Bombyx mori: one gene and its partners. The protein of the gene in region 3 purifies or fractionates together with the protein of the main gene of each other region. This does not show direct contact. Links are inferred from orthologs where the notes say so. Each region holds a gene or a part of one and is shown on either strand. Other genes may lie near its edges. The genes, in order: PHD and RING finger domain-containing protein 1, Rybp, Ck2b, DDB1- and CUL4-associated factor 7, FACT complex subunit spt16 and MYND-type zinc finger-containing chromatin reader ZMYND8.

Region 1 (3,982 bases), on a different chromosome or scaffold from region 3:
GGGTGTAATTTATAATGAGCTGCTCAATCTGAATAAAAATATCACAAGCATCGCTATTGACTTCAATTAATGTGTTTATGAGCCTTAAAGAAAAACGGCCACTACACGAACAGAGACAGGACAAAGTGATTTTGCTACATGACAATGCTCTGCCTCATGTTGCAAAACCAGTGAAAGCCTACCCAGAAACGCTTCAATGGTAAGTTCTAGCCCACCCGCGGTATTCACCTGACATAGCCCCTTCTGATTTTCACCTATTCCATCCGATGGCACATGGCTTAACTGACCAGCACTTTCATTCATATGAAGAAGCTAAAAAATGGAACAATTCTTGGATAGCCTCAAAAGACAAATCGTTTTTCTGATGCGGAATGCATATACTGCCAGAAAGATGGGAGAAAGTAGTTGCTAGCCTTTGACAATACTTTGAATGAAATCTTTTTGTTGCTTATATTAAAACAAAGCTTTTATTTTGAAAGTAAATAGCGAGAACTTATTCAAGGTCCTAATATAGTAAAGTGCAATACTACCACGTCATGTAGTATTAAGTATTAAAATACATACAATTAAATTAAATGTAGATGTGTATCTATTTATTTTTGTATTTCATTGCCCTCTGTACACTTGAATCTATCAATGTCTGTTTTTTCTATTTACTTTCTACTCATGTGTAATGTTAATAGTGGAAAGTTGCATGATTTTGTTTACATATTTTTAATCTCTATATACAAAAATGAATTGCTGTTCCGATGCTGGACCGATTTGGCTAATTTTGGTCTTGAATTATTTGTGGAGGTTTAAAAGGTAGATAAATATGAAAATGCTCGGAATTAAATAAAAATAACAATTTTGTTTTTCCTTTTGTTTGTTTTAAGTTTATTTTATACAAAAGTTTAGGTCTTTTATTTATCGATTATGGCACTATGAAGTCTGCCAGGTCAGCTAGTATATTATAAGGATGTTTTGTACTGTTGGTTCCTCAAATAAATAACTTTAAAAAAATTATTTAAATTTTGAAAATTTTATAAATTATGTGGAATTACTATAAGTGTGGAGTATTGGAAGCCCTCATAGACAAGTATCACCACCTTGCCTATTTCCTGCTGTAGAGCAATCATGGTTGGAAATGTCTGAACCATCAGCCACACTATACAATAGATTTAAACCTCATGCCACAAGGTGGGTAGTGGCATTCACATTCTGATTTATATTATCACCACATAACACTAAGTGGGCCGTAAGCTCATTTTCACTAATTTATTTAATTAAAAAGGTACTGTAAACAAGCATATTTCTACACTGAAATATTCACACATTTGCTCAATTTAATTTTGTACTTTATTCCTTATATTCTTTAATATTATGATTATTTTAAAGGAGTAAATAGAAAGACTAGCTTTAAGGTCAGCTGATGTTCAGGGGTTAGCTGCCTTAGACCACACTTGACACAAACTCTTTATTCTTAAATCAAATTGAGCAAATGTGTGAATATTTCAGTGTAGAAATATGCTTGTTTACAGTACCTTTCCATAAAGACAAACACCTTTACAAAGATACTTAGTTACATTGTTCCGTTGATGATAAGTTAAATAGCCTTATTTTCAACTATCTAAACCCAGGCACACTATAGTGGCTTTGTATGATATTAATAGTAGTATATTTAAATCACTATTTCTCAACCTTTGTGGGTTTTATTTGTTTCTACTGAACACTAATTATTTTTCTAAAATAAAATTAGTCTTGGCTACTTTTATAGTGATAACTTCAGCGTTTCAGAGATTAGACAGAATGAACTAACAGCTAAAATGAGTTTTATGTTACAAGTACAATATATACTTTAATTGGATATTACAAGCACATTTAAATTTTATAAGCATAGCTCACCTCACACACTGTTGGGTCTTCAACCACCAGTACGTCTACAGAAGGTCTCCTTTCAATAACTTTCACTTGTTCAGTGCGCAGTACACGTCCACCGGCACAAGCTCTCACTACAATAGAGTCAAATGTCAGCCGATCCACAGGACAGGTATTCACATTTTTTGACCACTCAGTAATACAATCCAGACAAAATATATGTTCACAACTTTGAGGGGTTCCTACTTCTTGATCAGTAAACCGCATAAGGCAAATGGAACATTTTTCGGAGTTGCCTTCTGAGCTGTCGGAAGCGAACCCTGAGGTCGGCCTCGGTACAGCGTCGGCGAGACATGCAGCACCCTCGCTGTCCGAATCCCGTAATTTGGGCAGAGCCCGTCCTCGACGAGTGCGCACCACCTCGCTACCGCTGCTGTCAATCTCATCGTCGCTCACTACCTGTAACACGTAAACACATCATCACTTTTCTTGTCTCTCACAAGCTTCTGCAGGTTGTGCGACTTGTTTGCCATTGTAATAAGTATGATTGGATGCATCACCCTCATTCGGTTTCGACGTGTCCCGACTGCAGTGACGCTGTCGTCGCTCTCGGACTCGGAGGATGACAGAATCGTCACTCTTTTAATTTTACGTTTAGGTCGCGGAGGCGAGTCCTCGCTGTCGTCACTCATCCTGTCTAGCCGGACGCCTTCTTTGAGTTCAGCGAACGCGACACGAAGCCACTCGCAAAGGTGTAAACGACCTTTGCGCTATTAATCCCTAGCTCCGTTTGTTTGACTTATCAAAACTCATTCGATATAATGGTCTAAGCCTTGCATAATGCTAATATTCAAAAGATTACAAGGCATTCACGTTCATAAAACTTATTTTATTTTGACAGCAAGCCGCTATCGATGGTCGTTCAGCCATGTTTCCAGAGAGTCCAGGGACTTTTTTATTTTGCAGTTCACTTTGATAGGCAAAAACGACTTATGTCATAAAACCCTATGCATAAAAATTATCATTTTGCACTGAACTAAAACTAAACTAAAATAAAACGACAGTAATTAAAGTAATACTCACAACAATGGTAGAAGTGTACAGGCATAAAGCAATTTACAAAGGAGCTGTTTTCTTGGGTCTTACGAAGACGGCCGACAAAGTTTGGCAAGCTTAGAAAGTGTACAACATGGGCGTGCTAGACAGTTTCATATTTTTCTTACGAGGATCCTCAGCTCCTCTTCGGTCTATAAAATGACATTCCGCGGTAACCTCTGACCCAGTAAGAATTTTCAGCAATGATGCAACCATTTGCTAATCCAGTAGAAACAGTCCCTCGTTACGAAAAACTTAACGGGCAGCCGTTTTGAAAGTGGTGCATAGAAGCAAATCCAAATAAAGGTACATCCGTATTCTTTCAAAGAAAGAGTTCGAACCGAAACTTCTCTCGCATCAGGTGTACAAGGCTCTCACAAGATCACATACTTCGGTCAATGAATACTGGTGGTAGGACCTCATGTGAATCCACGCGGGTAGGTATCAACACCCAGCCTATTTCTGCCTAAAAAAAATAATAATCTTCAAGACGATCTGGATCTCGAATCCAGTCATAAAATTATTATATGAATAAAATAAAAACGACACGATAACCGTCTTATCGTGGCCACCACAAGATATACTCCTAATCCAGCTCATACAAGAACCAGGCACCGTCAACGCTGTAGTCATGTCCTTACGAATTTTTATCCCATCTCATCTCATCTCATTTCATTTTATTTCACTCCATTATTTTATCATTTTTCATAAAAATAAGAATGTAAATTAAAATGAGACATGACATAAAGATCTTAGTTACCAGGTCATAAAATCCATTAAAAAAAAAACGAATTTAACAGTTCATGTAACTCGTACATCTCACTGAAAAGCTCGACGTAAGCCTTACCGCCCTTACCCCATAGCATCCCGTTAAGTTTCTCACCTGTAACTCGTACATCTCACTGAAAAGCTCGACGTAAGCCTTACCGCCCCTACCCCATAGCATCCCGCTAAGTTTCTCACCGGATCTTCTCAATATTGAAGTACTTCTCATATTTCAATCTTGAAATCTTTTATTATTACTGTTGCT
Region 2 (4,298 bases), on a different chromosome or scaffold from region 3:
GTGCAGTGTAGGATAGTGATTGTTGGAATTCATATTATGATGTCTGATGAAGGTCTAATAAAAGACCGAAACGTTGCAAATATAATAATGTAATTTGTTATTATGATCCTATCTTGCCCACATTCCTGAGATACAAACTATTTTATATTTATTTAATTGTACTAGAGGTCCCGCAGTAGTCGAAATTCGACTATAATTAATTGGAATTGTAAGTTTGTACACTATTATAATTGTATTTTATCCTTCTATCATCACAAATTTCGCCAAGACTACACTAAAAAAAATATTAACAAAGACAAACAATGTTTAATCTATTCTCAATTTGACAACAGACGTCAAGAACAAAAGCTTGATAATAAATAGTATGCATGCGTGTGTGCGTTAAATACATGGTATGTAGTGTGTGTAATGTTTTCCTTATTGATTTAATTAATGTATATTTTATGCATTATTTAAAAAAAATATTAGCATTGTGCACTTCTCTATATTCTCTTTAAGTGTGGAAATTTTCAACGCCTCCGTCCGCGCAATTTTCGTAAAAAGGAATATTTATTGGTCAAGGAAAGCCAGGCTGAAATTAGATTCGTATTAGAAAAAAAAAAAACAATAAATTCAAAGTTAGAATTAAACGTTCGTTTTAAATTGATAATTTTCGTGAAAAGATCCAAGATTTTTGAACCACGCGTATTTCGCTTCAAGTAGAAAAAAATGAAAGGACTTCTTTCGTAAAACTCAGGTAGAGATTTTATTTCTATCGCCGTCACAAAAAAGGGGTCGTTTTCTAAGAAACGGCATAGAAATATTTCTCAAAGGCTTACCGTGCTTCATAGTTTTTGTTTAAACGATTTTAAGCTTTAAAATAACCAGTATAAGACACATAATTGAATTTCTGCGTTTAAGTATCGGTACCTATTTAAAAATGTACACAATTTTGTTGACTGATATTTGGGTTCAGTGGTTTAGTGTTGGTGTGTCATTTGGAATAGATATTTCGAATTTTAAAACGTTTGGAGTTCTTGACCTTTACTTAATGTAGCGGCCCTTTTGTGGCTGGTCAAAGACTTGTGCTATCAGCTAATTCTTTTTGGTTCCAAAGTAATGAATGACTAGATAAGACTAGGTTCATAGACCTTATACTAAGAAGATCCACCTCCCGCCTCAACAATCCACGGAAAGAATAATATTATTATGGTAACGTTTGCGTTATTATTTAATTTTATCAACTAGTTCACCACCATTCTGCCTGTCTTTGCCGCAAAATAGCCCTTTTGAATTTTGGGACCAATAATAAAATGACCATATCCGCATTCGGTCTTCTATTAAGCCCAACCAACAATATACTTATGTACTTTATTCGCTGTTTATTATTATGTTTGAATTTTATTCTAAGAAAAATTTATAAATCTTAATTCATGAATAACGCCATCTAGTATTGCTATTTTGTAGCTAAAACAGCTCAGAAGAATGTGGCGCCTTCACGCTGTTTAACCGACGTAACATTGACGGCTGTCATGGCGTAAAAGTGTACAATCTTTGTGCACAGTAAAACAAAAATAATGATTTCCCGACGCATTAATTCACAATTGTGCATTAGAAATAATAGTTTTCAATCAAAAATATCATGATAGACGTGTCTTAGCTACGTTTAGTTGCGTGTATGCATTAAAATGGACAAGAAAAATGCCATTAGAAGAGCCAAAAGGCCATCAAAAGTGCTGGAAGAAAACTACTGGGATTGTAGTGTTTGCACGTACAGGAATAACGCGGAAGCTTTCAAATGTTCCATGTGTGACGTTAGAAAAGGTAAATACTGTAACTGAACGCCAATATTTTTCATATATGTAAATTCTGCACACGAATTTGACCTAAATGATCTAATTCACGCACACAGAGCCACGTATCTTAACACGATGATTGTTTCAATGAGCTTTTTATTAATTAACTACGTAACCTTTTCATATAATAAAACGCTCAGAACTGCAGACATTTAAGTATAAAAGGGCATTCACATTACGTATTCAAATTCTAACCTAAAACCTAAACCAAGGACGAAAATTATTGATTAGTCTAGGGCGACGTTACGAATAAGAGCGAATAAGTATGAGATTCATATAAGAATAAAATCTCGACGTATCAAACATTGATTACGAGTTAAAGTTCCGCAATAAAAGTACGGAAAGAAGTAATCATAGTATTTCTACACCGAAGTCAGTAAGTAGTAGAATATAATTTTTTTTTTAAATTGGTAACCAAAAACTTCACTATAGCGGTGCATTTTTCTACCGGCTGCTTCTCTAGTAGACCTTCAAGACGGTTTCCTATAATGTTCTTGTATCAAAATAGGCAAAGCATCAAACACGAATTACCTAGATGACCTGACTTAGATTTTTTCGTTTTCTGTACATACAAAGTAGAAAGGTTTGTGTTTTTGTATATCAAAATAGTACATAACACTGGACAAAAAAAAAATCTTAACTGAAAAGTATAATGGCTGTTTCTAATTACAACAAGCAATCTTGAGTATACCATGAGATGGACATGAACCACCATATATACATAACTGCTATTAAAATATTCCATCATATTTGGCATTTTGCATAACTTTAAGTGTATGATGTTAGACATCAGTATTATACTAATTTTGTTGGCAAAGCACTCATTTGTTATGGTATGAAGAGCTTACCGTTATTCAAATAAGTACTTAATGAGCGAGGACATTCATGTTGTGATCTCAATATTATTGCATAGTCCAGAAAAAAAAAAAAATGTACATACATATTGACGCTTGAAAGGCGAAAGTGACTAAGCGACAATAACTGATTTGTACATAACAAAATATATATTTCTAGGTCTATTAAAACCTATTTCAATCCTACAGCTACTAGCTAGATTCTACTACAGCTAGATTCGTTAAAATAAATTTTGTTTTCAGGTATTCCAACTTTCAATTAGTCTACTGTACAGTTCACACATTGTCACTTAGTCATGTTTGCCTTTCAAGCGTCGATATGCTCTCTGGAAAACAACTGATGTTCTATTTTGGAAACATATATTTACTAACCTATATAAATTATCTCTTATTATATAGAAGTGATAAGGCTGCTCATTGCCACCACTTGTTTATTTCTATCATAATATACATGTTTCTTGTATGTATAAGATATACTTTCTGTGTATGTTTACTACAAGGATTGCCCTATCAATGTGTGTCACTATCGATAAATATTGTCAATAACATGGGAATTTCCAGCATGTTGGTTTATAAACTTATAACACTGTATATGAATCGTCTATTATCAAAGGTGGCAATCTGTGCATTTGGACAAAAATTTTTATTGGTATGTCAATACAGATTGATTTGAATATAATCGTCTCCTTCAAAGAATACGGTTCAAAACCTGCATTAAATAAAGGTTAATAGTTAACCTGTTATTTATCTAAGATGTCGTTCCGAAGAGTTTTGTGACTGCCAATGGAATACAAAGTCAATAATTCGTTTTTCTGATTTACCAATCATTGTCCAAAAGTCAGATTGCCGGCTTTGATAATAGTCGACTCATATATAAGATTAATTTATTCTTTCTACCCATTTTCATTATTGGCACATTCTTACAGGACAACTGATGGTAAATGGTTACTGTGTTGCTCACAGAATTCTGTAATGTCAAATGTGCAATTAAAGTAACTTGTACTTCTGAGGACACTTTTCAAATACTTGTTTGAAGAAGGACATGTTATAGTGGTCTCTTGAAACAAACTGAAGAAAATTAATTGAAAAATGAGAGACCATTTGGAAAATTGTTTTTTTTAAATCTGGCGTTAAGGAATTAGTTTGTTTTGGTACGAAGGTAGCTGAGTGAGGTAATTTTTGCAATGGGTCCGAATATTTCATAGTTTTTATGGTAATAGACAAGTGAGGTTTGAATAATGAGCTATTTACTGGTAAGTAGTAGGACCTCTTGTGAGTCCGCACGGGTAGGTACCACCACCCTGCCTATTTCTGCCGTGAAGCAGTAATGCGTTTCGGTTTGTATAGTGCGGCAGCCATTGTAATTATACTGAGACCTTAGAACTCATATCTCAAGGTGGGTGGCGCATTTACGTTGTAAATATCTATGGGCTCCGATAATCACTTAACATTAGGTGGATGGTGAGTTCGTCCACCCATCTAAGCAATAAAAAAAAATTTTTTTTTTCAATTAAATTATTTTGGAAATTTTGAAATTCCTAATCGTAAACATAGTCCTACTGACTCTCGACGACTCTTGTTGACTCGTACGTGATTACCACGGTAACTG
Region 3 (4,281 bases):
GCCTAGCGTCAGCCGAGGTAGGGACTTTCGCCTCGAGAGCCGCCAACCTGCCGCCCAGCCTTTCTATTACAGCCTGGATGGTGCGGCTGATGACCTCTTCCAGGCTGAAGTTTGTTGGTTGTAGCGGAGCCAACATCCGTGGCCCCGCGAGTGCTTGCTGTCGCTCGGCAGCGGTCGTCTCCCTAGAGCGCGGCGACGGGAGACGCGGCCTCTGCTGTGCCACACGCGGTGGCGGCAGCACAGGCCATCGGTCGCCAGTCAGCGCCGGGGGACGGGGACCTCGAGGGGCTCCAGCGACCCAAGGCGTCGCTGCGCCATCATTGGGCTGCTGCTGTGCTTGAAGCTGTGCTCGAAGCCTCGAATTCTCCGCCCTCAGCTGCACTACCTGGTCATTGGCAGAAGCAACCGAAGGCAGAACCTTCGAGACTTGCGAGACCACTTCTCGCAGTTTACGGCCAGCGGCTTTGGTCTTGGTGCCGTTGGCCGCATAGGTTTTGATGGTCTTCATGGCCCTGTCTATGACCAAGGCAGGGTCCTGAAGGCCACCCTCTTCCTCCTCCGTCGTCTGCCCGTCCAGTGAGGCGACAGACATCGACACTGATGATGGCGCCGGTGACGGCGCGCCCCTTCTACGGGCGGGTCTTCCTTTAGGGGGCGGCATCTCCTCTGCAGCAGATGCCGCATCGGAGACTACCAGCACTTTCTCCGGCGGGGCATCCGCACCAGAGGACGATGCTGGCTCCCCTACCCCCTCACGAGAGGAAACTCGCCAGGATTTCCTCTTCCGCCTGATCTTCTTGGCGGCTGTCCCTTTCGGATCAACTGTTTCGCCGTCGCTGACGAGCGCAGAACGCGTCGAGCCAGCGCTGGCACACCTCGGTTCGACGGGTTTTCCGCTGCCCGTCGCACAGCCCCCTTCATCATGGCATTCTTTGCCCCCCCCAGAATACGCGGGGCAGCGTGCTCCCACCGAGGTGAAAGCACGGAGGGATTCTCCACCTAAGGTGGTACCCTCCTGGGGTAATTTTTGTTTTAAGTTTGCCATCATTATATTTGTTCCTTTTTATTTAACCAGGGGTCGGTCCCCTGGGACGGTCCTCACGACTGGACTCCCTCCAGCCACTCATCTCATCACCGGACACGTCACAAGCTTAAGATTAGGGCATTTTTTATAGAGGTTCGCATCCTCGCGGCCCCTGCTAGGCAGCGGCCCCCGCCTCCTACTCGGTAGGGATTACGGTATGCTTCTACGAAGCCACGCCGGTAAACCGGTACCCCCCTCTGGAGGGCCTTCCCCTGTAGCCACCAAGAGGCAGCCGGGGACATGACGACCAGCGACCGGAAGGGAGTGCCCTCCGGTTCACTTCTCATCCACGTGGGTCTACCATTACTGACAGACCCACACGTCTGACCACGTTGTGGCCACGCCGGCGTACCGGTACCCCCCTCTGGAGGGCCTTCCCCTTTAACAGCCAGAGAACCGCCGGGGACATGGCCTAGCATACAAGAGGCTCCAGAAGGGAGCCCTCTTCGCTCTTCACGCACCCTTTGCTTAGCAAAGGTGGGAAAAGGGAACACGGTGTGCAGTCTTCTTAGTTCACGCCACCCCTGTGCAGACAACGCTGCTCCACGGTATCGGGGTGCACGCTTAAGCCCCACCGCCACGACAAGGCGAGACCACGTTGTGTGGGGACAACAATAACCCTAGTCGGTTATATGACTGTGGCATTGGAAATGTAGTGTAGCTTAAGTTAAGTTATTATCTTGGGATATAAAAAAAAATATTTAAATATTTAGTAAAGACCCCTTTTGAGTACTCATTACTATTATTTATCATTGATGCACTTAATTTTTTTTATAATTTGTTTTATCATACTACATTAAAAGTATTAAAGACAATAATTAACATACAATGTAATGCAACTCACCTATTGGTCAATATGTACCGGGCATGTATCAATCCATATAGTATCTCCGATGCTTGTTCCACCAGATCAGATTCATTTGGATTGTCTTCAATGTCATCATCTGAAACATTTAGATTTAATGAACATTTACAATACAACATTCTCATTTATGATGATTCTGATGAATGCAGAATTTCATAAATGAGAATCATGTAGAAACATACAGTTCTTTGTTTTAGAGAAATCTATTTAAATAATGGCATGCAACAAAATGTCTGCAACTTTCATTTTATATTTGATTTTCAATAGTACTTTACAATTAAGTTGAGAAGGAAAATTATTGTTAACTGATCACCTGGCTCCAGATCCAGAATCATGTCCAGCGCCTCTCTATAATGTGGAACTTGCTCATTTAAGCCGGTTAGATTAAATTTATCATTTATGTAGTCTTCGTCAACCTGCACAAGATATAATATTATGACGATCAATAAGGTAACATTTTATTACAGCGATCGAATAGTCGAGACTCACCTCACAGAAAAACTCATTGCCTCGAAGCGTGCAAAACCAAGCGATCCAGGATACCTCCTCGGAGCTGCTCATTTTTCTAATAAAACAATCATATTAAATTAGGTATGTGGGACGAAAGAATCACATAAATACAATCAAAACTTCAGACCCGCCACACGTTGCTGTTACAACAAATTTTATGCATTCCTATGTTATCACCTGTTATTTTATGTCTTCAAAGCTGTTTTTCACAATTTCACAGTAAATTAACGAATTTGGCAAAGATTTAATGTGTTTTTTTTCGCAGTAATCATGGAATATTGAGATAAAATGACGACAAACCTCACCTTTTCGTGCCTTGATTAGCCACGCTTGACGGGAGGATACACCTCTTGGAAAGAGGGAGAGAGAAATTGCAAATTTCAGTGTGTGCGTACGGAATATGAATAGAATGATTTTGTCGATGCTCTAGTCTATGATCTGAGAAAAATATTAATCTCTATATTTTCATGTCCACAGTCAAATTTTTTCCTCGAATGGTCGGTGTTTCACATCTATATACTATATAGTAAGTAAAAGCTGCTATATGATTAAGTAATATGAAAATTTCGTGGTGTATGACCTTTTTTCATAGAAGTGTAAAAGGACCGAATCCCGTGAACTGCAATATTTTATTTATTGATGTTTGATATTAATGGAGGTATGTAACAGTTTAATATTTGTGACAGTTTAAAACTAACTTGTAGACGTTGCAGAAATGGCACAAAAGAGCTGCACTTAAGTAATCACTGAGGTTCTAGTAAAAATTCCAGTAATGTGTTACTGTTAAACTCCTATGTTAAATATTAATATTGTAATAAATTTTAATGAAGAATAAAACTTTCCTAGCGTTTTGTTTCGTCGTAGGCTACCATTTAATAGTGACGTCTGTGTAGGAAAGAATCCGTTTCCACCGTGCGACTATTTATTTTCGGTACATGATTATTCCAAAAGTTCAAATTCGGGGATAACAATTCTATAGCAGTGCTACAATAATAAAAAAATGGAACATACTTAATTAAATGCGCTCCGCTGGAATGGTCAACTGGGTAATAGTATTGTTATCAACCTCGACATAGCTGTGCAGGTGCTGCTTGAGGTCTTAAATTAGTATATTATCTATGCTTGTATCGTCCACCTGCAGAGAACGAGCTGTACCGTGTTTATTCTGCCGTGAATGTCATGCATTTCACCGGTCATCGTTCTCGTCGAACCCGTCACTTGCGACGAAGGGCTCGAGTAAGTTAACCCACAGACACAGCCTACTGAGTTTCTCGCCGGATCTTCTCAGTGGGTCGCGTTTCCGATCCGGTGGTAGATTTTGCGAAGCACGGCTCTTGCTAGGGTTCGTGTTAGCAACGTCGTCAGGTTTGATCCCCATGAGCTCACCTACTAATTATAGTTACGCTGAAATAGCCTATCAAGGCTATCCGCTTAGGTAGGAAAAAAAAATGCGTTTCAATATGAGGAAAACGCCAGCTGTACACGGTCGTCGAAACACCACGAGACAGGTCGAGGACGAGTGTGTAGAGTAAGATCCTAGGGCCAGCAGACGTCACGTATTTTCTGACGAACGAAATGTGGCCGATCGCGTAGTGTTAGTTTTTTTTTTTTAGATGGGTGGACGTGCTTACAGCCCACCTGGTGTTAAGTGGTTACTGGAGCCCATAGACATCGACAACGTAAATGCGCCACCCACCTTAAGATATAAGTTCTAAGGTCTCAGTATAGTGACAACGGCTGCCCCACCCTTCAAGCCGAAACGCATTACTGCTTCACGGCAGAAATAGGCGGGGTGGTGGTACCTACCCGTGCGGACTCCCAA
Region 4 (3,995 bases), on a different chromosome or scaffold from region 3:
TTTTAGTTTATTACAGATTTAGGCTATAAAAAATTAATTGGGGCCTTCGTTTTCATTTTTGAAGATTGTTATCATGTAATCACGTTCCGTTTTCTATTGCATCTGGTTTCTAGTTACCACGAAATGGGGAACACACAACTCAGGCGAGCAGACAGACGCTCTTCGAAACGTCATGGCATTCGAACAAAGCGCCTAATAAAAAGTTTTACATTGCCAGTGTACTTTATTGCTATTAATTAAATTCGGGCACTTTAAGTATCTATAATAATCTTTAACATAGTTATGAGTTAAAAAGTTATACAAACTAATAAGTCTGTCCTTAATTTTTAATTAAGAAACTGAGACTGCCCAGGTATCTAGGCAATAAAAAAATATTATACACAATAATAGAAAACGTAAGAAATTTAGAACCTTTTTACCTACGATATCAGATCAGGAATATGGAAATTCGCAGGAAAACCGTAATAACTGACATAGCCGAAGGAATTGTGAGATTGAAGTGGGCAGAGCATTGCTCGTAGAACAGATGGCCACTATGGCTGAAACGCTTTCGAGTGGCGACTGTGTAAAGATGTAGCTTGGGTGGAGCTCCCACAAGGCAGACCAGCTACCTGTTAAATATAGCGGGAATCCGCCGAATGCAGACAGTGTAGGACCGGTCGTTGTGTCGAGGCTTTGGGGGGGCCTTTGTTCAACAGTGGACATCTGTGGATATTGTCGTTTATTTAACTTTCTATACATAGCCTGGTTTTACTACTCATTCAGTTTCGAATAGGTAGCTTACTCATTATTGAATTTTTACCAGGCATATGTCTTCAAATCCAATTTCGTCTTATTGCAGCCAATTTAATTTATTTTTAAATTATTTCATTTTCATTCATAAAATAATTTTCATTACACTTTTTTAACAACTAACAGAGATTCGACATATACTAAAGTAGGGACCCGCCCTTGCTTCAGAAACTGTAATTGATTATTGATTTCTCCACTATTTAATGGATGTTATTATACATATAAACCTTCCTCTTCAATCTCTATCTATTAAAAAAAGCGCATCAAAATCCGTTGCGTAGTTTTAAAGATTTAAGTATACATAGGGATATAGGGACAGAGAAAGCGACTTTGTTTTATACTATGTAGTGATGAGGTTTACTCGCAGATGCTAAATTCCCGTTGCCTAGTCAAAAAACGAAACGAAAAAAAATTAAAATGTCAGATTGTCCTACTTGCCAGTTGTCAAATTTTGTAAAAATAATGCTTCATGCTTGTTTTCTCCACACAAAACTAAGTTTTTAGTTAATTTCCAATTATAAAATACATTAATTGAAGGTACAGAAGCTCATGGACAGTTCAATATTTAAATAGGTATATTTAAATCAAACATAACAAAGCCGCTTGGTGGCCATTCTGTGATATTACGGCAAAGGTACATAAAATATATATTTTTTGTAAATTTAAAACCATATGTAAAAATCTAAAAAATATAACTTGAAAGGTATGAAAACTTACGTACTTGAAAGACAAAAAAAATAAAAAAGTCACTATTCATTAAAATTTCATATAAATATCATTTTGATTTGTGTTTTCAGAAACATTAAACATTATCAGTGATGTCGATGCCACACAGCAGTTCGAGTACCAGTTCAGGCACGAAACGTAAAGAAATATACAAGTAAGTAACGTTACAACACAATATGAACTATAAATAACAGATTGGAAATAATTGACAGTATAAAATACAGAGTTGACCCAATTTTGAGATTGCTAATTATAATTAGGTATAGCGTGTTATTTATTTCTGTACCCATTCCTATGTTTCGAAACATTTGTAATACAATCAAGCAGGCATTATGGGACTTACTAATTTAATGCTTTAGATGTTTTGAAATATACAGATAATCCTTTCACAATTCCCGAAAAGAACTAAAGTGATGTTAACAAATTGCAAAAACAGCCTTATCTTGATAATTACGTACGAAATTTGAGTTGTTCATACAGTTAGGTTAAATTCTCATAAACGAAGTTGTGATAAAAAAAAAACACTATAAGCTAGACAGCTGCATTTCTATGTCACACATCTTTTACAGATACCAAGCGCCATGGCCATTATACTCAATGAATTGGTCTGTCAGACCTGACAAGAGATTCAGGTTAGCCCTGGGCAGTTTTGTTGAGGAATACAACAATAAAGTAAGCTTTTACAGAGCAGTTATTATATTAATTTAGTAATTTACAAAACATACCAACAGGATTAAGTAAATACAGTATAAAGGCCCAGATAATGAATCATGCAAAGCTAATGCAATTTTAGGGAAGTCAATTTGTCAAAAATTTCCCACTCATTGAATTATAAAAGATAGAGGTGTGTGCCTTATAATCTATAAATGCATAATATTACCAAAGAAAATACACAATAAATTACATATTTTTGTTGTTGTTCATTTTTCAGTAGTTGACAGAATTGGTAGGAGCACTTAGTTTGTGGAGGCTGTTCTTATAGACCAAGTAGACAAATACAGCAAGAAAAAAAAAATTCTAAGTAATTATTGGTGCATAATATTACTTACTTAATTCCACCATTAAATTAGTAAAAACTCAACTACATACTACTAATTAGTTAATTGTTTAGCATAATATACAAACATATAGTAAGTAAACCAGGAGTTCCCAAGATATATAACCCACTTAGACACACAATAACTTGACCGCAAAGGTTTTAATTGGTGAGTATGTTGTATGAATAGGAAAAGAACTAGGGATAGGGTTTTTTAAATAATTTGGGTATGGGGTTTTGAGGTATCAGTTCATTTTAAAAAGGGGTCTGCCAAAAATTGTTTTATATTACCTAATATAAATGAATTTATTAGTTTTCACTACATTGAAGGATTTTTAGTGAAAACTAATATATTAATGGTTTCATTTAACACACATACTGTATTGTAGCATTCCTTGTGCATGACATAAGCTTAATAAAACTCTTAAATCCTAGGTACAAATAATTTCCCTTGATGAAGACACAAGTGAGTTCACTGCAAAAAGTACCTTTGATCACCCGTACCCGACCACCAAGATTATGTGGATACCTGATAGCAAGGGGGTGTATCCAGACTTGTTGGCAACTAGCGGTAAGACTTCGGTAGCAGTTTGTTAGCACTAAGATTACCATATTTAATATGGAGATAATGAGGCTTGAATTTACTTTTACACTGCTACATAGACAAAAACATATACTCCCAAAAATAATGCTTACAATATCATCTCTCTCTAGAGAAACAGTATTCATGATAGTCTTTGAGCTCCATAAACCACTGAATTGTACTTAACTGAGCCTGTCTATCTCCTTTGTCGTCATATCACTCTTGTCAGAGCGGTTGTGGTCGTCATTCAGCATCATTGCTGAGGGCAGATGTTATGCGCCTCACAAGCAATCGCTACTCCTCCCGGTTTGTGGTGAGCCTGGTACACTCATGCAAACAATAATAATCAATCTACATAAATAAAAATAAGTGATACCCTATGAGTACAATATGAATGATTGTGATGTTAATAGAGGCAACTTTCGTTGACATAAACAGTTTTGATAAATAATCAAATTCAAGTAAAACTATTCAATAAAATTTCACAATGGTGCCTTATGTTGCAGGTGATTATCTACGCATATGGCGTGCCGGAGAGCCGTACACATTATTCGAATGTGTCCTAAATAATAATAAGAATTCTGACTTCTGTGCTCCTCTTACATCCTTTGATTGGAACGAAGTGGATCCTAACCTCATTGGCACCAGTAGTATTGACACGACCTGCACCATCTGGGGCTTGGAGACTGGACAGGTCTTGGGCAGGGTCAATGAAGTGTCTGGGCACGTGAAGACTCAGTTGATCGCTCATGATAAGGTTTGTGATTTTTATTTAATAGAAGATCTTGTTAATTCATTTGTGTCCAAAATTTATGTTAATGATTATCTGAAGATTATTGGTGTCTTCAAAAAATTTTC
Region 5 (3,500 bases), on a different chromosome or scaffold from region 3:
GCCAGGCCTACTCTAACTTCCTTACCTGCATTCCGTCAACAACTAGTGTGGTTCAAGAAGGTTCTAGTGTCAAATTTAAATAATTGTCCCACTACCTAATAATTTTTGCTGTTGGTTCTAATTGAACCCAAAGGTTTACTACACATGTTAATGACAATTGGCCTTTTACAACATAATATTTTATATTCAACCGTCATTATCTAAAAGTTTATCCCGTTTTTAATTTCATTTTAATACTTATAAATTATACTCTTGTAGAAAATTTATTTGTTTTCGTATTAGGTCTGGAAAGAGTCCTTGGGTATTATCAGTGGCTTGGTTGTATATATTAGAATGAGTGAAATGAGTGACAGACATTTCAGTAATCACTTTATTCAGCTTAGAATTTATTTCCTGTCAAATGACACATTATGGTTGGTTGGTTGGTATGGTTGGTTTAAGTTTCATGTATATGAAGCAAATGGTTCAATTAGGAAAAATCTTGGATTACTACTATTATGTGTAGATGAGGATGCTTGAGGTAATAGTATTAGCCTGAGGTGGTGTCTTTTGATTAATTAGTCAGATATAATTAGTCAAGTGTCTCTCTCTTTCTCTCTCTTAATCTCAAGATTAATATCAAAAAATATTTATAGGATATTGTGAGCCTCTGTCGGTAAGTACCACTATTCTGCCTATTTGAGGCAATCATTCATTCTGATGTAAATAGTGGGACATCTATTATACAATAGAATTGATTTTCCAATTACATCAAGAAGGATGATGGCATCCATATTGTTAAGTGCATAAACTCCTGTATCAGAATGAACTTCTTTCTTTACAGAGTATAATTTTTTCTTGAATCTTAGTGAAAAAAAAAAATCCTATGATTTCTGTATGCATATAAACTTTTAATACTACTTAACCTATAATATCAAAATCAATTCAAAAACAAAAACTTTTAAGATTTCTGACACTCAGATAAGTAGTATAACAATGACACACTGATTGTTGATTATATTTTGTCAGTTCTCTTTAGAACTATGCTTACTTCAGAACTAATTTGGTCTCTGTTGTAATAAGCTAAGGAGCATTTTGCTTTAAAAATGAACCTTTTTCAGGATTTAATGCAACCTTTTTTTTTCACTTGAGTCAATAAGCAGTACCTGCAATATGTCAATGAGCTAGAATACAGTGCTGTCTTAAAACATTTCGATGCCTCCAATGAACACTACGCTAACTCCAAATTCGTAGATTTACAGGAGAAGCGTTTAAACGAAAAAAGTTGATAAAATCTTTATTATTGCTTTATGGTTTTTTTGTGTAGCTAGCTGATTTACTCTTGCTTCGAACCCCATCAATAATGATTAATTGTAATACCTTTTAAATAGTGAAGCATATGCGTGAAAAACGAAAATTTCAAAATTTTGAATTAGAGTAGTGTTCATTGGAGGCATCAATTTAATTTATTTTATTATTTATTAATTTATAACAAAACTCTTTGTGTTTATGATATTTATTAAAGTTATTGTTTTGTTTTTTCTAGACATGGCTGTTTGGATATGAGTTACCTGACACAATCACTGTCTTAACAGAGCATAGCATGTGTTTTTTAGCCAGTAAGAAGAAGATTGAATTCCTGAGACAAATAGAAAATGGTAAAGATGAAACTGAATTGCCCCCAGCAAAACTTCTTATTAGAGACAGAGTAAGTCCATTTGTGCACTTTCTAAAACAAACAAAGTTTCTATGACCTAAAGTTAGCCAGCTATATATTTTGTATCACAATTCAGCGTTAAACTCTCATTAAGCGGCTGCCAGGTTTCAAATTTTGTGGCAAATACCAATTTTTACCAACTGATTGTGTATCATGAGCTTGTACAATGATGATTCATGCGATTGTAATTTTTTTTCCATAGAATGACAAAGACAAGGAAAACTTCAACAAACTTCTCCAAGAAATAAAGAAATCAAAATCAGGCAAGACACTGGGTATTTTCGTGAAAGACAATTATCCAGGTGAATTTTGTGAAAGTTGGAAAGCAGTTCTGAAGGGAGAGAAGTTTGAAAATGTCGATGTCAGTTCAGCGATTGCATTATTAATGGCGCCAAAAGAAGACTCTGAAATTATTACAATAAAAAAAGCATGTCTGGTCACAGTGGATGTCTTCACAAAATACTTAAAAGATCAGATAATGGAAATTATTGATTCAGATAAGGTATGTATTAGACATTCAAATAAGTGATCAATTCTAATCAAATTATTTTAAATTAATATACTTTTAATAACAAAAATTCACTTTTCAGAAAGTCAAACATTCAAAACTTGCTGAAGGTGTGGAAACAGCAGTTTCAGATAAGAAATATGTAACAGGAGTCGATACAAGTCAAGTTGACATGTGTTATCCTCCTATTATACAGTCAGGCGGACACTATAGTTTGAAATTCAGTGCAGTATCTGATAAAAACCACTTACACTTTGGCGCCATAGTATGTTCACTAGGTGCTAGATACAAATCATATTGTTCGAACATAGTCCGTACATTACTGGTCAACCCAACTGATGAAGTACAAAGTAATTACAATTTCTTGTTAAATATTGAAGAAGAGGTGATGAAGAGTCTTGTAGCTGGAGCGAAATTATCTACAGTTTATGAAGCTGGTCTAGCGTTAGCCAAGAAAGAGAAACCTAACTTAGTTGAAAATCTCACTAAGAGTTTTGGGTAATAGTTTTATTATATAAATCAATATGTTTTAATCTTGAATTCCAAAAACAATGGATGTTCTTGGTGTTTATGTATATTATTCTGATATTCTTTATGCTTTGCAGATTCGCTATGGGTATAGAATTTCGTGAAAGTTCCATTATTATTGGACCTAAAACAAATGTTACCGCGAAAAAAGGAATGGTCTTCAACATAAACATTGGCTTGGCGAACTTAACAAACAGTAATGCCTCAGATAAGGAGGGGAAGGTAGTGTATCAAAATATTTTGTTGTGGTACCAGTGTGTTGACAAATTAACATTTTTAAATCTTATACTTAATACAAGTAGTTGTTTCTTTATTATTTGTAAGTTTAAACAAATTTTAGTCCTTTCTTCAGTGTCAAGAAGCATTGGTGTCACGAAATCTTGAATTAAATTTATTTATTACAGCTATGTTCCACTACAAGGCAAAAGCCACCCTACCCTCTGCTAAACACTGGGTCTATTAAAAGAGGATAGTTTCCTCAAAGTCTCAGCCATACTACTATTTTGAAAGTCGTCGTGGCCTAAAGGATAAGACGTCCGGTGCATTCGTGTGTAGCGATGCACCGGTGTTCGAATCCCGCAGGGTACCAATTTTTCTAATGAAATACGTACTCAACAAATGTTCACGATTGACTTCCACGGTGAAGGAATAACATCGTGTAATAAAAATCAAACCCGCAAAATTATAATTTGCGTAATCACTGGTGGTAGGACCTCTTGGGAGTCTGCACGGGTAGGTACCACCACCCCGCCTATTTCCGCCGTGAAG
Region 6 (3,500 bases), about 11 Mb from region 3:
AAATTAATCCTATCATAATAAAAATTAACGTTCTTTTTGACAGGAAACAATGGTGTAAATACAGTGACAACACAGATGTTGCCGCCTACGCTGACGTCGGCCAGCACCGCGGTCACAACCCCAGTACAGTTGGCGCCCACAGTTGGGCAAGTGCCGACCACCGTCCACACGGTGCCCCTCATGACTTCCGTCAATGGACAGTGGATGTTTAGTTTACAACCTGTGATGTCCGTCGGAGCTATCGATGTAAGCACATAAGGGACATACTAATTTTCTATAAGGTAACTCGAGCGAAATGCTCCTGACGAACATATAGGATGTTCCAATCGTAAAATTCAAAGTAGCCCATATATAATATTTGACGGTAGTTAGCACAATATAGGAATGTATGTGAAAAACAACTTAATTAAATATGGGTAAATTTTTAAATTGGGTCAATCACGAAAACGCCCCTAGTGATTTGTATTTTTTTAAAAGCACGAATATTTAAATACTTGTTGGCCTAGTTAAAAAATTTGTAAGAGATAAATTTATAAAAATATATTCTAGGGTTTTATTTATTTATTTTTATTGCTTAGATGGGTGGACAAGCTCACAGCCCACATGGTGTTAAGTGGTTATTGGAGCCCATAGACATATACAACGTAAATGCGCCACCCACCTTGAGATAAAAATTCTAAGGTCTCAGTATAGTTACAACGGCTGCAACACCCTTCGAACCGGTAGGGTGGTAGTACCTACCCGCGCGGACTCACAAGAGGTCTTACCACTAGTAAAAAGTACACCTCATTTTTATTTAATTATTTTAATTAAACTAAGTGGTAGTAGTAATTATGAAACTAAGTAGTACATTGATTATCACACAGTCGAACACATCGCCGCTAGTGAACGGTGTTCCGGAAAGGCTCGGTCAAGCGGCGACCGTGGTGCCGGCCGCCGTCGTGTCACCCGCCCCTGCGACCCCCGCCTGCCCCGCGCCCCTTGCCGCTGCACCGCCGAGCCGGCCCGGAGACTCTGTCGTCACAAACACTCCCACAGAAGTGAGTTGCCATTTTGTAATCTATCTATATATTAATACGTGAAACAAAAACTTTGTACCCCTTTTTACGAAAATTGCACGGACGGAGGAGTATAAAATTTCCCATACTTATGTAGAATATAGAGGAGTGCAGCATGTTAACTTTTTAAAACTATGCGTAAATAATACATTAAAAAAAAATTACACACACACGCATGCATACTAAGTATTTGTTTATTGTCAAACTTTTCTTATAGTCTGGTCAATTTGAGAATAAATTAAAATTATTGTTCGTCTTTATTAATATTTGTCTAAAATGTAGTGTCGGCGAAATCTGTGATTAAAGAAGTTATATAGATTATATTAATGTAGAATATAATATAGAAGAGAAAGAAATAGAATATAGAATTATAAATTATAGAAGTTTGAATCTTGGACAATAGAATCATAATAGTGTACAAACTTATAATTTCACTTAATTATAGTCGAATTCTGACTACCGGGGGACCACTAGTTCATTTAATTTCGACATTATTTACAATATTGCATACCACCGCTGTCGTGAAACAGTCATTAGACTTTATGAAGAGCGACTTCGACTTTATGTCCCAATGTGGGTCTTTCATGTTATGATATCTATGGGCTTTGATACTCGATAAACACAACTGTAGAAAAATATTAGAGAGTATTATTGGCTCACTCGGGTAATTGGTACAATAGCGAAGCTTGTGCCTCAAAACCAGCTAAGACGTTTACGCTGTGGCTTTTATTGAAAATATATATATATTTTTGTTGCCCTTGTTGGCAGACGAGCATACGGCACACCTGATGGTGAGTGGTTACCGTCGCCCATGGACTTCAGCAATGCCAGGGGCAGAGTCAAGCCGCTGCCTACCGAAAATATTTAAATAATAATAATAATATATAAATAACTGCTCCACTAGAGCAATAAAATAAATACCGATCGTTTGGATTTGACTTTTTTGACGCTGGCTTACAATTATTTGACTTGCCCTAGACATTTAATAGTCATCATGACGAGTTATCGTAACTCTTTTGTCAAACGTAAGCGACGTTAACTCGATTTACGTATTTTTGGATAGTAAATATCTTATGCGTTAAATCAGACTGTCAATAACATCGTTCATGTCTTACTTTTCATCTAGCTCCCGAGGTTACAGCAGCGGCCGCCGATACAAAATCCACTAGATCCCAACTTCCCAATTGGTATTGTACCAGCACCATCTACCGTCGGTCCTCTAACGGCTAAACTCAATCAGAATGCCATCAAGGTAAATTCGAAATACTTATAAATTCGTAATATTATATTTTCGTTTCAATAAAAATATGACCCACTGTTACATCTGAGTCGTCTATTATCAAAGGTGGCAATCTGTGCATTTGGACAAAAAAATGTTATTGATATGTCAATACAGATTGATTTGAATATAATCGTCTCCTTCAAAGAATACGGTTCAAAACTTGCATTAAATAAAGTATTAACTTAACCTGTTATTTATCTAAGATGTCGTTCAGAAGAGTTTTGTGACTACCAATGGAATACAAAGTCAATAATTCGATTTCTGATTTACCAATAATTGTCCAAAAGTGACATTGCCGGCTTTGATAATAGTCGACTCATCTATTGTTTTTTCTGGGATCGAAACAATCCTGTCAAGTGTTCATAAAATCTATACTAATATATAAATCTACAGTAGTTTTTACGGATGTTCCGTTATAACTACTGAACCATGCATCCGATTGACTTGAAACTTGATATCCATGTAGAAAATACATGTACTTAATGGATATTGATATATGAGCGTTGGACTCCCTAAGAATAATGACCATAAATAATAATGTTAATTTTAAATGCCCAGCGAAGCGGCCGAGTACGGCTTGTACTATATAAAAATAAAAATACCCTCAATTGCGAAACAAAAACAAACCAACCTACACATTGAAATTTTTATATAAATGTACATATAATCGCTGCACAGTTACTCGTTTGGAACTAATTTTATCTTGTTACATTAAATCATAAAGAATGTACCTTAAATTTAGGTAGAATAGTTACTCAGTGTTACGACATTTGTTGCAGCTAGCCGATTTCTTCCGCACGCTACTGGAGGATTCGCTGGATAATCTCGACGATCCATCGACGCAGGTCACGTCCCTGAAGCTGCAGCTCGAACAGACCAAGTGGAGGCACCAGCAGAGATTGGACGAAATCAAACATAACTTTGGTAAACAAACATAAAGTTTCTAATGTGTATTTTTTGTAATATGTTCTTTTTTGTTACAAAATATATTAGGAAATGTTACTAAAAATGTTTGAAACACCAAACTGGTAGCTACCAAATAAAATGATAATGAAATGTTTTAATTCTACTTATAAATAATATTTAGAATGTGGGTTTGATTTAACACTAAACATGCCATAATGGGCCACGGACCCATTTGGAACTTTTACATTGTGCAC

What was found.
Region 1: the proteins of Ck2b (region 3) and PHD and RING finger domain-containing protein 1 purify together in Homo sapiens (affinity purification with mass spectrometry; 3 studies listed by BioGRID and IntAct, with this or other methods). This does not show direct contact. The link is inferred for Bombyx mori from reciprocal best matches to the Homo sapiens genes CSNK2B and PHRF1.
Region 2: the proteins of Ck2b (region 3) and Rybp purify together in Homo sapiens (affinity purification with mass spectrometry; 5 studies listed by BioGRID and IntAct, counting the BioPlex papers as one, with this or other methods). This does not show direct contact. The link is inferred for Bombyx mori from reciprocal best matches to the Homo sapiens genes CSNK2B and YAF2.
Region 4: the proteins of Ck2b (region 3) and DDB1- and CUL4-associated factor 7 purify together in Homo sapiens (affinity purification with mass spectrometry; 4 studies listed by BioGRID and IntAct, with this or other methods). This does not show direct contact. The link is inferred for Bombyx mori from reciprocal best matches to the Homo sapiens genes CSNK2B and DCAF7.
Region 5: the proteins of Ck2b (region 3) and FACT complex subunit spt16 fractionate together in Homo sapiens (co-fractionation; 4 studies listed by BioGRID and IntAct, with this or other methods). This does not show direct contact. The link is inferred for Bombyx mori from reciprocal best matches to the Homo sapiens genes CSNK2B and SUPT16H.
Region 6: the proteins of Ck2b (region 3) and MYND-type zinc finger-containing chromatin reader ZMYND8 purify together in Homo sapiens (affinity purification with mass spectrometry; 3 studies listed by BioGRID and IntAct, with this or other methods). This does not show direct contact. The link is inferred for Bombyx mori from reciprocal best matches to the Homo sapiens genes CSNK2B and ZMYND8.

What each region holds. Positions count from the first base shown.
Region 1 is NC_085129.1:15,713,029-15,717,010, reverse strand, and holds the start of PHD and RING finger domain-containing protein 1, read right to left. Parts: upstream 2,801-3,982; 5' UTR 2,550-2,800; coding exon 2,418-2,549; intron 2,317-2,417; coding exon 1,885-2,316; intron 735-1,884; exon of another isoform or gene 1-734.
Region 2 is NC_085134.1:5,459,482-5,463,779, reverse strand, and holds the start of Rybp (ring and YY1 binding protein), read left to right. Parts: upstream 1-1,498; 5' UTR 1,499-1,667; coding exon 1,668-1,803; intron 1,804-4,298. UniProt on the Homo sapiens protein: Binds to MYC and inhibits MYC-mediated transactivation. Also binds to MYCN and enhances MYCN-dependent transcriptional activation. Increases calpain 2-mediated proteolysis of YY1 in vitro.
Region 3 is NC_085121.1:1,778,339-1,782,619, forward strand, and holds the start of Ck2b (casein kinase 2 beta subunit), read right to left. Parts: upstream 2,801-4,281; 5' UTR 2,765-2,800; exon of another isoform or gene 2,637-2,764; intron 2,515-2,636; exon of another isoform or gene 2,514-2,514; 5' UTR 2,511-2,513; coding exon 2,439-2,510; intron 2,366-2,438; coding exon 2,263-2,365; intron 2,029-2,262; coding exon 1,929-2,028; intron 1-1,928. UniProt on the Homo sapiens protein: Regulatory subunit of casein kinase II/CK2.
Region 4 is NC_085118.1:1,110,545-1,114,539, reverse strand, and holds the start of DDB1- and CUL4-associated factor 7, read left to right. Parts: upstream 1-1,195; 5' UTR 1,196-1,426; intron 1,427-1,589; 5' UTR 1,590-1,610; coding exon 1,611-1,672; intron 1,673-2,087; coding exon 2,088-2,190; intron 2,191-2,989; coding exon 2,990-3,125; intron 3,126-3,643; coding exon 3,644-3,894; intron 3,895-3,995. UniProt on the Homo sapiens protein: Involved in craniofacial development. Acts upstream of the EDN1 pathway and is required for formation of the upper jaw equivalent, the palatoquadrate. The activity required for EDN1 pathway function differs between the first and second arches.
Region 5 is NC_085116.1:13,764,485-13,767,984, forward strand, and holds part of FACT complex subunit spt16, read left to right. Parts: intron 1-1,525; coding exon 1,526-1,687; intron 1,688-1,898; coding exon 1,899-2,198; intron 2,199-2,286; coding exon 2,287-2,702; intron 2,703-2,809; coding exon 2,810-2,954; intron 2,955-3,500. UniProt on the Homo sapiens protein: Component of the FACT complex, a general chromatin factor that acts to reorganize nucleosomes. The FACT complex is involved in multiple processes that require DNA as a template such as mRNA elongation, DNA replication and DNA repair.
Region 6 is NC_085121.1:12,333,573-12,337,072, forward strand, and holds part of MYND-type zinc finger-containing chromatin reader ZMYND8, read left to right. Parts: intron 1-43; coding exon 44-246; intron 247-866; coding exon 867-1,040; intron 1,041-2,184; coding exon 2,185-2,310; intron 2,311-3,119; coding exon 3,120-3,264; intron 3,265-3,500. UniProt on the Homo sapiens protein: Chromatin reader that recognizes dual histone modifications such as histone H3.1 dimethylated at 'Lys-36' and histone H4 acetylated at 'Lys-16' (H3.1K36me2-H4K16ac) and histone H3 methylated at 'Lys-4' and histone H4 acetylated at 'Lys-14' (H3K4me1-H3K14ac).